Linked DNA regions of Stegostoma tigrinum. Each later gene encodes a partner of the first gene's protein in a complex. Links are inferred from orthologs where the notes say so. Each region holds a gene or a part of one and is shown in the gene's direction. Other genes may lie near its edges.

Region 1 (7,525 bases):
GGAATAGAGGATGAAATTTTTGCAGGAAGGTGGGTGGAAGAAAGTGTGCTCCTAAGATGCTGCTTGGTCTGCATCGTATCAATGTCCCTTTGCAACCTAGAACAGCCCTCCGCACTATCCATGACTCGATCCACCTTCATACTGTCTGCAAACTTACTAATCCACCCTTACACTCCTACATCCAATCATTTACAAATCACAAATAGAAGAGGACCTAGAACGGATCCTTGTGGTACACCACTCATAACTGAGCACCACGTTGAATATTTTCCATCCACTACCACCCTTTGTCTTCTAAGAGTCAGCCAATTCCGAATCCAATCTGCTACTTTTCTCCCTATCCCATGCCTCCATACTTACTGCATGAGCCTACATGGGGAACCTTATCTAACGCCTTACTTAAATCTGTGTATACTGCCTCCACTGCCCTACCTTCATCCACGTGTTTGGTCACCTCTTCAAAGAATTCAATAAGAGATATCACAGTTTTCTGAAGGGCTAATCTCAAAAATCTGAAAACTTGTGGAATTTGACATTAATTGCCAAAGAAATTTGCTGCAAGATATTTGGTCAGGAAGTAACAGAATATCTACTTTTTCAATGATGAGATATATGATCCTGCACTGAACTATACAATAAGACAGGGAAAACTAAACTGTACAGTCTCACTTTTGCAGATGGTAAATTAGTGCTAAAGATTTTTAAAAGTTTTTTCTTTTCTGCTTCCTTTCTATCTTTTCTCTTCATTTCTATTTCTATATCCAATGCAAGTTTAATTAATACTACTTTCTTTCTTTAATGCTGTTTCTTTCTCAATCATTAAGTCTTATGGCTTATGGAAATAGACTGTTGGTTCTGAGGAAGGGTCAATGGACCTGAAACATCAACTCGATTTTTTCTTCACAAATGCTGCCTGACCTGCGAAGCTTTGCTAGCAAATTCTGTTTTTGTTGTTAGTTCCGTTGTTCAATTAATGCCCCTGTTGCCTTTGTCATTCCACTCTTACAGCAATTTATATCTAAGTATTTTTCAAAATTAAAAGTCTGGGAAAACGTCTAACCAAAGGGGGCCTGCCATTAGATGCTACACTCTGGAAAATTGTGGGCCATTAAATAAGTATATTGAATCGATTTTATTTTACCAAAATGATGGAACTGAGGACAAATTCATCACAGGGGCACAAAAAATGGAAAGGAAAACCAAGACTCAAAATGGATAAGACATCAGGATCAAATGGCATTCACCCTAGATTGCTGGAACTGTTCTGAGCAGGATTTAGAGACTACAATTATAACTTTTCCAATTCTTTAGAAGACAAATTCTGATGTGGAAAAGAATGTTGTTTAAGACAGAAGAAAGAGACAACTACAGGGCAGAAGCATAAGGGCAACATCATGCATAAAAAAAACAGACAAATCGATAATTTGAAATAAAACTACTGACCATTAAAAATGATTTGAAGGCAAATAATCTTTGACAAATGTATTTCATACAGTCTTTTCAAAGTGGTTACAGACTGGATAGGGAAAAAGGAATGCCATAGATGTATAAATACGGAATTTCAGAGGTTTTAAGAAAGAATGCTAGAAAGATTCGGATGTAAAGCACGTGTGTTTGTGCGCAGTCACTCATAACACGATTAATACTTGCTCATGGCAAAAACCTGAGCATGGACTCTTTTAACATGGGGGAACATTGCATTGGACCTACCATACAATGTTTGCTGACCATGAAACTCTCCCACTTTTTCTCCATGCCAGAACATATCAGAAGGCTTTGCAGATTGATAATTTACCTGTTTGACCATGTAAGACAAAACTTTCATGGTCATCAAATCTGGAGGTGGACTGCAACCTGGAGATTCTGGCACAGAGATAGAGATACTACCATTGTGTGCAAGAACTGCCAGGTAAATGGTTTAAAAAGTGAAACAATATAAACAGAATGATGGATTAAGAACAATAAGTAATGAGTTGGAGTAATTAGCTGTTGCTTGGATAAAATAGTTGGAAGTACTATAGCCTGGAGTGCATGTTAGGTCCACTTTTGTTCTCAGTACATATTAATTCTTTACACTCAGCAACAAGAAAGGTTTCCAAATATGCAGATGTCAAACAAATTTAGCAAGAACTGCAAGTATTCTGCCCATATTCCAGTTTGCTCCAAACCCCATTCACATAGCATCTCTGTGCTCTCTTACTTATATTGGCTTCTGGTACCTCAAATGTTTCAAACTCAACATTCCTACCCTTGTGATTAAATCCTTCCCTGACTTTTTTTCATATTTCTCTTGCCTCCTGTAATTATAAAGCCCTCTAAAGAGGACTGTATCTCTTCACCTCAATATCCTTCAGGATTCTGAAATCCCTTTGCCCCAACACTGGTAACTGCACCATCTGGTGTCTAGGCTGAATACTATGGTATTAAATTCCTAAATGTATTAGTTCCTCTTCAAAATTAAGGTATCTCTTTGACCAAGCATTTTAGTCACACATCTGCTGATTTAGTGTTAGTGTTTGTCTTATTATCCTTCTGTGAACAGGCTGGTGATATTTTTTAGATTAAGAACACGAAGAAGTTGTGAAATGCTGTTGTTCAGAAAGACAAAAAAAAACTTATTCATGGAGTGGGCAAATAGGTAGCACATGTAAATTAATATGACTAATCGTAAAGCTGTACATATTTGAATGGAAATCAAAGTTGAGAGTTTACATTTAATGTTTAGATAGTGAGGATACAGATGAACAGACAGCAAACTTCTCAAGGTTGAACCGCAGGGATAACATGTATAATTCCTCCTATGCAGTGCCTTGAGAGGTTTTATTGCATTAAAGGTGTGATGTTTCTGACTTGGAATTATATTGACATTTCTTCACTGTCACTGTGTCAAAATCCCACATTGTGAGTGTACCTACACCACATGGAGTGCGCCACACAGAGTGCAGCATATCAAGAAGGCAGTCAACACCTTTGCAAGGGAATTGAGGGAGACATAAATGCTACCCTAGCTAGCAATGTCCATATCTCATGAAAAAAAAGTAAAAATGCAGTTGTTGTTGCAATTTCTTTATCAACCTGCATTTGAGAATGTTATACTTTTCTCCTATTTATAAAATACAATCATAAATTTCTACAAAACTTTGTACTCTAACCACCATGGCACCGAGAGAAAGGACACTCAAGTTATTAAAAGCAGAAAAATCAGATTCACAGCTATGAGGAAGAAATTGCAACACCAAGAATATTTCCAGTGAAGCTCTGCCAGGCATACACTAAGAAAGGAATACGACTTCATTGGAAAAAAATACAATTGGCCTCAATATCCTTCAGGATTCTGAAATCCCTTTGCCCCAAGGATAGCTAATGATTGATAGCAATTGGTTTTATATAGGTAAAAGTATAGGGTTTGCAAATAAGCACTGGAAGATCAAAGTCAGAGTTGTAATCTGATTTTATTACTAAATAAAAGAGAGAGCTGTCCTCTCTAGCCCGTTAAATTACAAAGCCTAACAACACAAACGACGCTGAAACAGCTGCAAAGTAACAGAAACTGCAGTAGTCTCATTCTTATTATTTAATTCAGCACTGAAGAAAGTAACATTCTGGAAAACTAAGTCATGATCTGGAACGCATTGCAAAGCAGAGGAAACAGATTTAATTATGGCTTTCAGACTTGAAGGGCCAGATTTTGCAAGGCTTTCAAAGAGCCAGCACAAGCAAGATGGGCCAAAAGGTCCAAATGGACCTTCTTTTCAATAATCTAATTCAATGGCAAAGAATGGTTAACTTTGTTGAGGTATTCATCTTCTTTCAACATTAGCTCTGTCGAAAGCTGATGGTGCTCAAAGGGTAACCAGTCCACCGCAGATGCTACCTGAACTGTCAAGTGCAACCAGAAAGACGTTTTTAATTTGCTGTTTGACAACTAAGCCAGTCGGTTGCCGGGGCGCTAAAGCAGATTCCGGTGAGTTTTCGCCCTCTTTGAGGTGATCAACACGCGGAGCAGAATCTCCGACAACTTGATCTGAATAAACGGACAAATAAAAAAAGACGCAGATCGTGGCGCTAACAGCCACCAGGGGTCAAGAAAGTTGCATACCCGAAAGCTCTGACATGGAAAAGTATAACCGATCATATTGCCTACTTTCGTTGGGGATTTCCTCTCTGTCTGGGTCGGCACTGATCCCCGTGCTGTCGTCTGTCAAGATTAAAGGGACATCATCGTCGACAGGCAGCGTCACCGCCATCGTCCGGTATACCCCCACACCCCAAACTGTCGCCGCCGCCGAAGAACGACGCTGGGAGTGTGCGGGAGGCGGGAAGGACGAGCGAGCAGAGGGCGGGACCCTGATCCACACCTTGTCGGTGATTGGTCCAGGCCGACGGTCGGTCCGGCGGGCTCACTCGAGAGGAAACGTCAATCAAAAGCGCGGCGTCCAACAGGTTCGCGTGAAACCCGCCTCCTCCCACGTGGACGGCGCGGCCAGCGAGTCAGAGGGAAAAGGTCGTCCGTCTCTTAGCAACGGAGTAACCGTCGCTGGCAAACAGAAGGGCGGAGATAGGTGAGTGCGTCCGTTCGCGGCAGAGGAACCCTTTAACCCGAAAGCACCGGGGTCGGCGGTGGCGGGGGGGATCCCGTTAAAACGAGCTGACGAACGGTCTCTGTGCCTCAGGACGAGGTTGAATATTCTCAGGCAGAATATTTGAGAAATCAGAAAGTATCCGGAGCTCACTGCCCGACAGGTTTCTAGAGTCAGGAATCCTTAATACTTACTGGCCAAGTGATGGAAAATGGAATCCGAATAGATGGATGTTTGATGACTGACGCGGATAAGATGGACCGAAGAGCCCTTTTTGCGCTGTTAAAATCTCTATCACTACGATTCCTGTTAGGCAAGGGATCCAAATGTAATCCGAGTAAAAGGAACTGTAGAATTCAAAACATAAACAAATCAGATCATTATAGAACAGCGATAGGTTTGAAGGGCCCAATGGCTCCGAATTGGTATGTTTTTGAGCTGTTGTGAATTCCTGGAGAAGATTAGTAGCCACCCACAGTTTTCGTCCATCCTGTTAGAGAGCTAGGCCTTATGGTCTCGGGAATCAGTAAACTCCAAGGTATCCTCTTGATCCTTGGATCCTTATTGTCCCTTCAGTCTGTCATCTGAGGCAGCCCATATCAACGTAACACCAGGGCATTAATTATGACTTATCAAGTTGACTGCACTAGGTCTGAGAGACTTCTGACTCAGTTCCAGGTAGCCATCCACAGCATATATTCTTTTTTATAGTTAGTGATTGTAAAGTAACTTTTAAATTAATTCGTGAAATATGGACATCACTGGCTGGACCAGTATTTATTGCCTCTCTCTTGTTGATTTCAGGAAGGTGGTGGTGAACTGCTTTCTTGAACTGCTGCAACCCATGTGCTACAGCTAGAAAATTGAACATAATATATTGTTTTGATCTGAAAATCAACACTAAATACCTCGCTCAAGTATTAAAAACCCTTATCCTCCTGATTTTTTGATCATTTTTCAAATAGCAACTGTGATCATAATTCTTTGTGGAAATCAACTTATGGGTGTTTAATGTACTTCAGTGGGAGAATGTTTCTGTGAAATTAAGCATTTATGAAAAAAATATAATTTACATTTATATATGATAGTACATTTGACAAAGATATAAATAAACCTGCACATTACTGACAAGTGTCAACTTTACAAACTAAGTGGCAGCCTTATCACCCTAAACTCAGCAAATGAGGAGGTTAGTGCTTAGCTTTGGAATGTGTTTTTCAGGAAAGCAATCAGACAGATTTGACACTGAGCCACACAAGGAGATGCTGGGACAAATGGTATTAAGGATCTAATTAAAAGGAGGAAAGAGACAGGCAAGGAGGGAGGAAAGTCATGGCTAAAGGCAAAAGCACCATTTGTTGAGCGATGAATATCATGCCTGTGCAAGAGACCAGAACTATAGGAGTACAGAAATATTAAAGGGTTGTAAGGCTAAAGAATGCAATGCAGTAGTGATGGGATTGAACACAAGAATGAGAATTTTCACTTAAATAAAGGCAAAATTGCTGGGAATCTGAAGCAAATACAGAGAATGTCACATTTGCTGCCAGACGTGCTGAGTTTCTCCAGCATTCTCTGTGTTTGTTGTTGAACGAGACTTCAAATTGAAGCATTTCTGGTCCAGGAACCAATGTGCATGTGTGAGCACAGGAATGATACATGAACAGGACTTCGTGCAAGTTAGGACAAGGATGTTTTGAATGAACTCAAGTTTATGGAGGGTGTAAAGAGGAAAAACTGTTTAAACAAAAATCAGAAGTGTGTTACTATATATTCTAAACTATTTTAATAATGTGAACTGATATGATTTATTACAGTTCACTTTATTATAAACTACCTCTGTTTTTGAAGTATACTAATGTATCACTCCTACATATTAATATAAAATCTTAATAAATGCTATCAATATATGTTATCCACATCAACCTCATGCAGTGCATCCTCTGATTTTTTTTAACATAATTTTATAAAATTTATAGATCAAGTCTCTTCTGCCAATGTTGCAATTTAAATGCGGTATATTGGTAATACTCGTCTCAAAGTCAGAAATTGTGGGTTCAAGTCCCACTTGAGATTTAAGCATGTAATCTAAAATTGCCATCTAATATAGTACTGCATTGCATTGCCAAAGGTACTGTCTTTCATATACATTGCTGAACTGAGGTCTATCTACTCAGTCATGTTAACAAAGGAAAAACCCATGGCATTGATATGAAGAAGAACTGGGGTGGTTTAACTACCTAATGTTTACCACTTAACCAACATTGCTAATTTAAAATCCTGTTTATTGTTTATATTAATGATTAACCATAGAAGCATTTGAGGCACTAGGAGGGTCCAATAACTGAACTGACCCCAATTTAACTTTGGCATTTGGACCTCAGACAGTGGTCTTTCCCACTGTGCCTTGGCAACAGCTGCCCCAAACTTTAGTGCATCCCTCACTACATAGTCCCAGACCTTGAAATGTGCCCGTCTGCAACACTCAGTTGAGGTCAACTCTTTGTTCTAGAAGACCAACAAGTTTTGAGCAGAACAAACAGCATTTTTCACCAATTTGATGGTCCTCCAAGTGCAGTCATGGTGTACGTCCTGGAGAACAGACCTTAGAGCACGTGGTCCTGTGTCACAGAGCTGCTCAGGATGAACTTCAACAAAAACCACTACATCTTTCTTCAGACTTTGATCTCAGGGCTGACGGCCATGTGGCTGATACTGTTCTGATGGGGGAATCCCTGCCTGAAGCACCATCTATTACTGGATCTCCTTTAATCAGTGAGGTTCTTGTATAGCTAGTCAATACTACCAGCATCTGATGTCTTAAGTGAAAATGGTGTTCAATGCTTGAAGTCTTTAAAGTCTAAAGGAGAAAAAAAGTTGACCTATTGTTTCTCCTAAATATATGATAGAAGGAAAGAACACATCATGTTTAATTTTGATTAGCA
Region 2 (7,918 bases), on another chromosome or scaffold:
TGAGCTACAGTCAGCCAAAATCCAATGGAATTGCAGAATAGATTCAAGAATCTAAACAGCAGACTCTTGTTCCTATATCTTTCCAAACTGATTTATTACTAACAATGTACAATCATTCATTTCCAAAATCCTGTTGCAATCTTCTTGGATAAATGGAATTATATCACTGTTCCTTCATTGTAACTCAGTCAAAATACTGAACCGCTTCCCCATCGACACCATCAGGCAGTTAAGAGTCATCCACATTGATGTGGGCGAGAGTCACAAGTAGGTCAGATCAGGTAAAGATAGCAGATTTCCTTCATTAGAGAGATTAGAAAATTTCCTTCCCTCATTAATGAGCAGAACAGGAGTTTCAGAAGCAATGGTCACAAAAGACAAATTTTTATTCTAGATTTTTATTAACTAAATCCAAATCTGCCAGAGATTTAAAACCTTGTCCCCAGAACATGAACTTCAAACTCTGGATTACTATTCTGTTGACATTACGACTATCCATTGCTCTCCTGCAAAATTCCCTTCCTGAGATCAGCTCCTACACAGCTGAAATCTAATTCAAAACTTTTCTTTACAATTGCCAACAATACAATTTTACCAACTTTATGATTGCTGGTCTCTTCAAAAATTTGAAATGCTCCAAAACCAGAACACCAAATCTTTTCAACCATTAAATTCCATTCATCCATTACATTAGTCTTTACTGTCCGACATAGGTTCTCAACCCATCACTGCATTAACCTCTAAATTGTGAGCTGGCTTTCAAACCCCAACAGACTTCCATACTCTTCAGTTCCTCAACTCTCCCTACATATGTACAAGCAAATTATTGCAGATGCTGGAATCTGCACTGAAAACAAAAATTGCTGAAAATCACAGTGTAGAGAGGGGGAGGGGGAAAACTAACATCGAGTCTAGAAGACTCTTCACCAGCTCTGAAGAAGTGTCATTTAGACGCGAAACATGAGTTTGCTCTCTCCCCATGGATGCTGCTTGATTAGCTGTCATTTCCAGCATGCATCTTCTCATTTACACTTTCGCCAGTACTCTTAACCATTACCATTGACACTCAGCCTTAATTGTGTGCAGCTCTTTCTTTAAACCCCTTAGTCTTTCCTATTGCCAACTTACGGTTCTTGCCTAAAATTCTCTGTCAATGCTCATCTGTGGCCCACTGCTCATAAAAATAGAAAGCCATAAAACATTAACGGAGAAGTAAGCCATTCAGCCCATTGAGTCTGCTCTACAATGCAAAGAGATCATGGTTGATAGCCCCGAACAACACTTTCCTGCCTTTCCACCATAACCCCATACTCCCTCACATAATAAAATATCTGTCTTAGCCGCAAATACACTTAATGACTTGGCCTTGGAAGCATTCTAGCTGTGAAGAATTCCACAGATTCATTACCTTCTAAGAATAATTTCCTCCTTATCTCTGTCCTAACTGGCAACTCGCATACTGAGATTACACCCTACAGTGTTAGACTCTTCGGTAAGGGGAAACAACTTTTCCGTATCTACTCTGTCAAGTTCTCTCAGAATCATGTATGCATCAACAAGATCACCTCTTAATCTTCTGAAATCCAATGAGGACAGAGCCAAAGTACTCAATATCTTCTCATCAGACAGTTTCTCCCTAGCTAGGATCAACCTTGTAAACCTCTCAATTGCTTTCAATGCTAGTATATCTTTCTTTGGATAAGGGGATCAAAACTATTTACAGTATTCCAGCTGTAATCTGACTATGCCTTGTAAATTAATAAGGCTTTCCTATTTTTACACTCCATTCCTCTTAAAATAAAAGGCCAAAATTCCATTTGCCTTCCCTACTACCTGAGCTTGGATGCCAGCTTCTTGCGATTTATGCACAAAGGTTACCAAATCCCTATGCTGTAGTGGCTTTTTGCAGTCTTTCTCCATTTAAAACATATTCAGCCTCTCTATTCTTGCTGCCAAAGTGCATAACCTCACATTATCCCTCATTACATTCCTTGCGCCCACAACATTAATCTATCTATATGTCTTTGCAGACTGTGAAATCCACACCACTTGCATTTCCACCTATTTGTGTTATACACAGACTTGGCTATTACAAATTCACTTTCCTCATCCAAGTCACCAGCATATATTGTAAAAAATTGTTGATCCAGCATTCATCTGTGACACTCCAATAATTAAACATTGCCATTCTGAAAATGCCCCCATGTCTAGAAAACTCTTTATCCATGCTAATACACCACCCCCATAGATTTGCATCAAATGTGTGGAACCCTCTAAAAATTCAAACACATTAAATCCACTGTTTCCCTTTAATTGTTCCGGTTGTTACCAGTTCAAAGAATTCTAATAAATTTATGGTCTTTTCCAAAACCTAAGGACTCATTCTCTAAAAGGGCCTATGTTTACTTCAGCCCCTCTCTTCCTTCTCATATACTTAAAGAAACTCTTGCTGTCCATCTTGATATTATTTACAATTTTACCTTCAAAGTTAATTGTCTCGCTTTTTTGTGTTGCTTTTGCTGGTTTTAAAAACCTTAGAGGAGAATGTTTTAAAAAGTTTGAGGGCCAACTTTTTTTTGCAGAGTGATTTGTGTATGAAATCAACTGTCAGAGAAAATGGTGGATGCAGGAACAGTTACGACATTTAAAATACATTGGATAAGTTCATGAATAAAAAGGGTTATGGGTCAGGGCCAAGCAGGTGGCTATGACTCTGAGATAATAAAATGTGAGGCTGGATGAACACAGCAGGCCAAGCAGCATCTCAGGAGCACAAAAGCTGACGTTTCGGGCCTAGACCCTTCATCAGAGAGCTATGACTCTGACTCTGTTTACCACTACTCCTTGCCACTCTGTTTTTTCCTTTCACTTTGATGCTATCTTTAAGCTCCCTGTTTAACCATTGCCTGCTCACTACCTGCATAGAATCCTTCTTTATCATTGGGTTATATCTTTGTTGTGAGCGATGAACCATTTTCTTAAAAGTCTGCTATTGTTCAACTGTCTTTGCCACTAAATTGCTTTCCCAACCCACTCCATCTAGCTGTGCCTTCATTGCTTTATAACTACCCTTATTAAAATTTAGCATAATTGGTTTTGTAATAAGCTTCTCCCAAACTAAATGCTAAACTCTACCATGTTACAGTCACTGCTTTCAAAGGGATCCTTTATATTGACATTTTTTAAACCTTTCTCATTCACATCACCAGATTCAAAACAGCCTGATCCCTGTTTAGATCTACAATATACTCCAGGTAAATTGTCCCAAATACATGCTATGAATTCTTCTTTACGGTTATTTCTGCTGATCTGACTATCATAATCAACAAGAAAATTAAAGTTACTCACAATTAATTTACAGTTTTTTTAAACAATCCCTCATTATCTCCTGCTTTATTATCGATCCTGACATATAGTTACTGTTAAGGACCCTATAAGGCTACTCTTAGTAGTATCTGCTTCACCTTTCTACTTTTGACCTCCACCCATTTGGATTCTATGTCTTCCAAATCAAGGTCATTTCTTGCTTTCATACTTATTCCATCCTGTATGAACAATACTATCCATTCACCCCTTCCTTCCTGCTTATCCTTTTGAAAAGTCACATACTCTTCAATATTTAGTGGCCAGGTTCTCCCTCTATGGAACCACATCTCCATAATGACTATAAGACCACAACCATTAACCTGTAATTATGCCTTTATTCATATTGTTCCAAACATACATTCAAGTAAAGAGCATCGATTTTGCCTTTTTACCATTTTCTATCTTAGACCCTATTTACTGTTTTTCTATGTTGAACAGTTTGTTCCTTCCTGCCCCACTATGAATGATTATACAATTAGATGCTTTATAAGACTGCCATCTCCCCTCTAAGTTCTTTCTTTGAACAATTGCTTTGTTAAATAAATACAAGTTCTTGCACTCACCCCTAATCACTCCACTAACACTGCATTATTAGTCCACCCTTGTTACAGCACTCTCCTGTTGACTTTAATTTAGGAATAATCATCCATTTATGATATTGCTGTCGATTTAAGAGTGTAATGACAGTTCACGTCTATCTTCACACCATTTTATGTCTGCCTGCACATAAGTTGTCACTGTCCTGGATTTATTGGCCGCGCAACATAAACTCAAAAGAACCTTGTGCTTGTCGACCCAGTATCAACAACACACGTATCTCAATGATACTGGTGTAACTTTAGGGACATGGAGTATTCCAGGTGCTTCTATTACACTCAAACTCCTAGAGAAAGTCATACTTTCCTACGCACAGAACTTTTCGACATGACAGTTCAACAGCCGAAGATCAGTGAAGCCTGGCGATGATCGCTGGGGAGCGAAAGGGACCCTTAGCAGCTACTCGCAGGCCTCAGTGACTCAGCTGCTCGGTTTCAGGAAAGGACCGGGACAAGGCCCAGAAACCACACGTCGGAGGGGTTCAATGGATGGTGGGAACCGACAGGCAGAGGCCCAGCTGGAGAGCAATTAGTTTCATCCGGTTCTGGTGGTGACTGGAAACGAGGCCTGAGGGACTCACCGGCCGAGGTAATCATGATGTCGGTGAAAGAGGGGCAATCCCTCGCTGTTTCCCGGTCCTGGTCTCGATCTCAGTACCACCGCACTGACTCAGTGATGTTCACAAAATCCCTCCGCGCAGTTCAGGCTGGAGAGGTCCTCGTACCACCCGCCCCTCCACGCGCCTGCTTCTCGAACAATAACCAATAGCTTCAAAAGAGGTACGAATTATTTAAAACAAAAACACTGTTATGGATTTGTTTTAAATTGAAAAATAACTGTTTCCCTAGTACCTTTTAAAACCATGCCCATCCCCGACTAAATGACAGGCAGTAGTTTAGCCAGCTCGGTAGTTGGGGCCCAGGTTGCCCAGGAGATGCTGATTCACCCAGTGGTTGCATTGATTGAGGGCACGAAATTTAATACAGATTCAGGTAGACCGCGGGAAATACCATGGTAAAATAGTTCTGGCATAGTTAAACACTATTTGCTAAAGGTTACATTATTGAAACATTTATCCGATTGCTTAACTGTTGTTTGGGGAAGCTTGCTGTGTATGAATTGGCTGCTGTGTTTCCTACATTGCAGAAGTGGCTGGGCTTCAAACGATATCCCATATAAAGCGTTTCGGGACATCCTGTGAATGTGAAAGCTATCGGATAGCTGCAAGAAGTTCTGATCTAAAATCACTTGAATGAAAATGCACACTCCTCAAATGGAAGCATATTCATATTGGCGCAGGCAACAGCACTGCCTTGGTAACGAAGCTGCTGAACATGATTGTGCTTAGGACACCACCCTGAGGAGTTTCAGCATTGATTTCCTAGTGCTGAGCTAATTGATCTCCAACAATCACAAACCTCTTCCTTTGTGATACATATCACTGTAACCAATGGAGAGTTTTCTCCTGATTTCCATTGACTGTAGTCTTGCTAGCATTCTTTTCCTGATTTCCATTGACTCAAGTTTGGCTAGCACTCCTTGATGGCAGTTTCAGTCAAGTGCTGCCTTGTAATAACGACAGTCACTCTCACATCATCTCTGGAATTCTGCTGTTTTATCAGTGTTTGGCCCATGGCTCTAATGAGATCACGAATGGAGTGGTCTTGATGGAATTTGAACTGAATATCAGTGCAGAGGTTATTGTCATGTAGGTTCTGCTTGACAGCACTGTCACTGACCCCTTCCTTAACTTTGCTGATTGAGAGTCGATGGAGCAGTAATTGGACAGGTTGGATTTGGGCTGCGTTTTGTGAGCAGGACATACTTATGCAATTTCCAACATTATCGTATAGATTTACTTGACCATCTTAGTTAGGGTGCAGCAAATTCTGGTGCACAAGTCTTCAGTAATATTCAAGATAATAGGAACTGCAGATGCTGGAGAATCGGAGATAACAAGGTGTGGAGCTGGATGAACACAGCAGGCCAAACAGCATCTGAAGAACAGGAAAGGTGATGTTTCGGGCCTAGACCCTTCATCAGAAATGGGGGAGGGGAAGAGGGTTCTGAAATAAAAAGGGACAGAGGGGGAGGCAGATTGAAGATGGATAGAGGAGAAGATAGGTGGAGAGGAGACAAACAAATTAAAGAGGCGGGGGCGGAGCCAGTAAAGGTGAGTGTAGGTGGGGAGGTAGGGAGGAGATAGGCCAGTCCAGGGAGGACGGACAGGTCAAGGGAGCGGGATAAAGTTAGGAGGTAGGAAATGGGGGTGCAACTTGAGGTGGGAGGAGGGGATAGGGCAGAGGAACAGGTTAGGGAGGTGGGAATGAGCTGGGCTGATTTTGGGATGTGGTGGGGGGGGAAAGAGAGATTTTGAAGCTTGTGAAATGAGTTGCTGTTCCTGCAACCTTTGGGTGGCAGCGTTGTGGCATTGCAGGAGGCCCAGGATGGATATGTCGTCTGAGAAATAGGAGAGGGAGTTGAAATGCTTTGCAACTGGGAGGTGCAGCTGTTTATTGCGAACCGAGCATAGGTGTTCTGCAAAGCAGTCCCTGAGCCTCTGCTTGGTTTCCCCAATGTAGAGGACGCCACAACGGGTACAGCAGATGCAGTATACCACATTAGCGGATGTGCAAGTCCAACGCATCATCCTCCCACACTTCCACCATCTGCAAGCCGACCCCACCACCAAAGACGTTTTTCCCTCCCCACCCTTGTCTGCTTTCCGGAGGGACCATTCTCTCCGTGACACTCTTGTCCGCTTCACACACCCCTCCAGCTTCATCACACCCACCATTCCTCAGACGACATGTCCATCCTGGGCCTCCTGCAGTGCCACAATGATGCCACCCGCAGGTTGCAGGAACAGCAACTCATATTCCGCTTGGGAACCCTGCAGCCCAATGGTATCAATGTGGACTTCACAAGCTTCAAAATCTGCCCTCCCCCCACCGCATCCCAAACTCAGCCAAACTCTTCCCCACCTCCCTAACTTGTTCTTCCTCTCACCTATCCTCTCCTCCCACCTCAAGCCACACCTCCATTTCCTACCTACTAACCTCATCCCACCCCCTTGACCTGTCTGTCCTCCCTGGACTGACCTATCTCCTCCCTACCTCCCCACCTACACTCACCCCCACTGGCTCCATCCCCGTCTCTTTAACTTGTTTGTCTCCTCTGCACCTATCTTCTCCTCTATCCATCTTCAATCTGCCTCCCCCTCTGTCCCTTTTTATTTCAGAACTGTCTTCCCCTCCCCGATTTCTGAAGGGTCTAGGCCCAAAAGGTCAACCTTCCTGTTCTAAGATGCTGTTTGGCCTGCTGTTTTCACTCATTGTGAAATGAGTTGCTGTTTCTGCAACCTTCGGGTGGCATCATTGTGGCACTGCAGGAGGCCTTCAGGAATAGTGCTAGAATATTATCAGGGCACGTCTTGTGAAAGAACTGTCCTAAAGACTAGAAGCTGCAATCCTTAAACTCAGCAGGAGACCAAGATCAATCATCTTTGTGGTGATATTATTTAAAATTTAGTGTTGTCGTTCCAGTGATACAGGTAATTATTCTCATTTAAAAATGTTTACTTTTTTTTGAAAAATTATCATTTTGAAAATTCAGAGTCTGTTCCATGCAGACCTCAGCAGTCCATGCACTACAGCAAATTCTTGTACCAGAAGTTAATGCTCCAATCTGGATTGGTGTGCTAAGCGGTGATTGCAGAGCGTAGTTCTGGCTGTGCATGCACATACATCTTAGAGCTCCCAGATTCTATTTATTACTCCTGTGTTATAAACTAAGGTGTATAGTAAGAGCTGGAAGCTTACACAGAAACTGTGTAAAATCTCATTAGGCCCCAACTCTAGTTTTGGTCACCACATGATTGTATTAAAGAGGTGTGATGAAATTAATGAGAATGTTGCTGGACTTGAAAATTGTAGTTGTTTGGTCTATTGGTTAT

The links.
Region 2: iqcd (region 1) and iqcg share a complex: the UniProt entries of both Homo sapiens proteins name them as parts of the nexin-dynein regulatory complex. The link is inferred for Stegostoma tigrinum from reciprocal best matches to the Homo sapiens genes DRC10 and DRC9.

Annotation. Positions count from the first base shown.
Region 1 is NC_081379.1:29,975,641-29,983,165, reverse strand, and holds the start of iqcd (dynein regulatory complex protein 10), read left to right. Parts: upstream 1-4,480; 5' UTR 4,481-4,562; intron 4,563-7,525. Other genes in the region: tpcn1 (two pore channel protein 1), read right to left, coding at 4,145-4,247. UniProt on the Homo sapiens protein: Component of the nexin-dynein regulatory complex (N-DRC), a key regulator of ciliary/flagellar motility which maintains the alignment and integrity of the distal axoneme and regulates microtubule sliding in motile axonemes.
Region 2 is NC_081367.1:48,502,456-48,510,373, forward strand, and holds the start of iqcg (dynein regulatory complex protein 9), read left to right. Parts: upstream 1-4,879; 5' UTR 4,880-4,955; exon of another isoform or gene 4,956-4,977; intron 4,978-7,918. Other genes in the region: psmd1 (26S proteasome non-ATPase regulatory subunit 1), read right to left, coding at 4,544-4,559. UniProt on the Homo sapiens protein: Component of the nexin-dynein regulatory complex (N-DRC), a key regulator of ciliary/flagellar motility which maintains the alignment and integrity of the distal axoneme and regulates microtubule sliding in motile axonemes.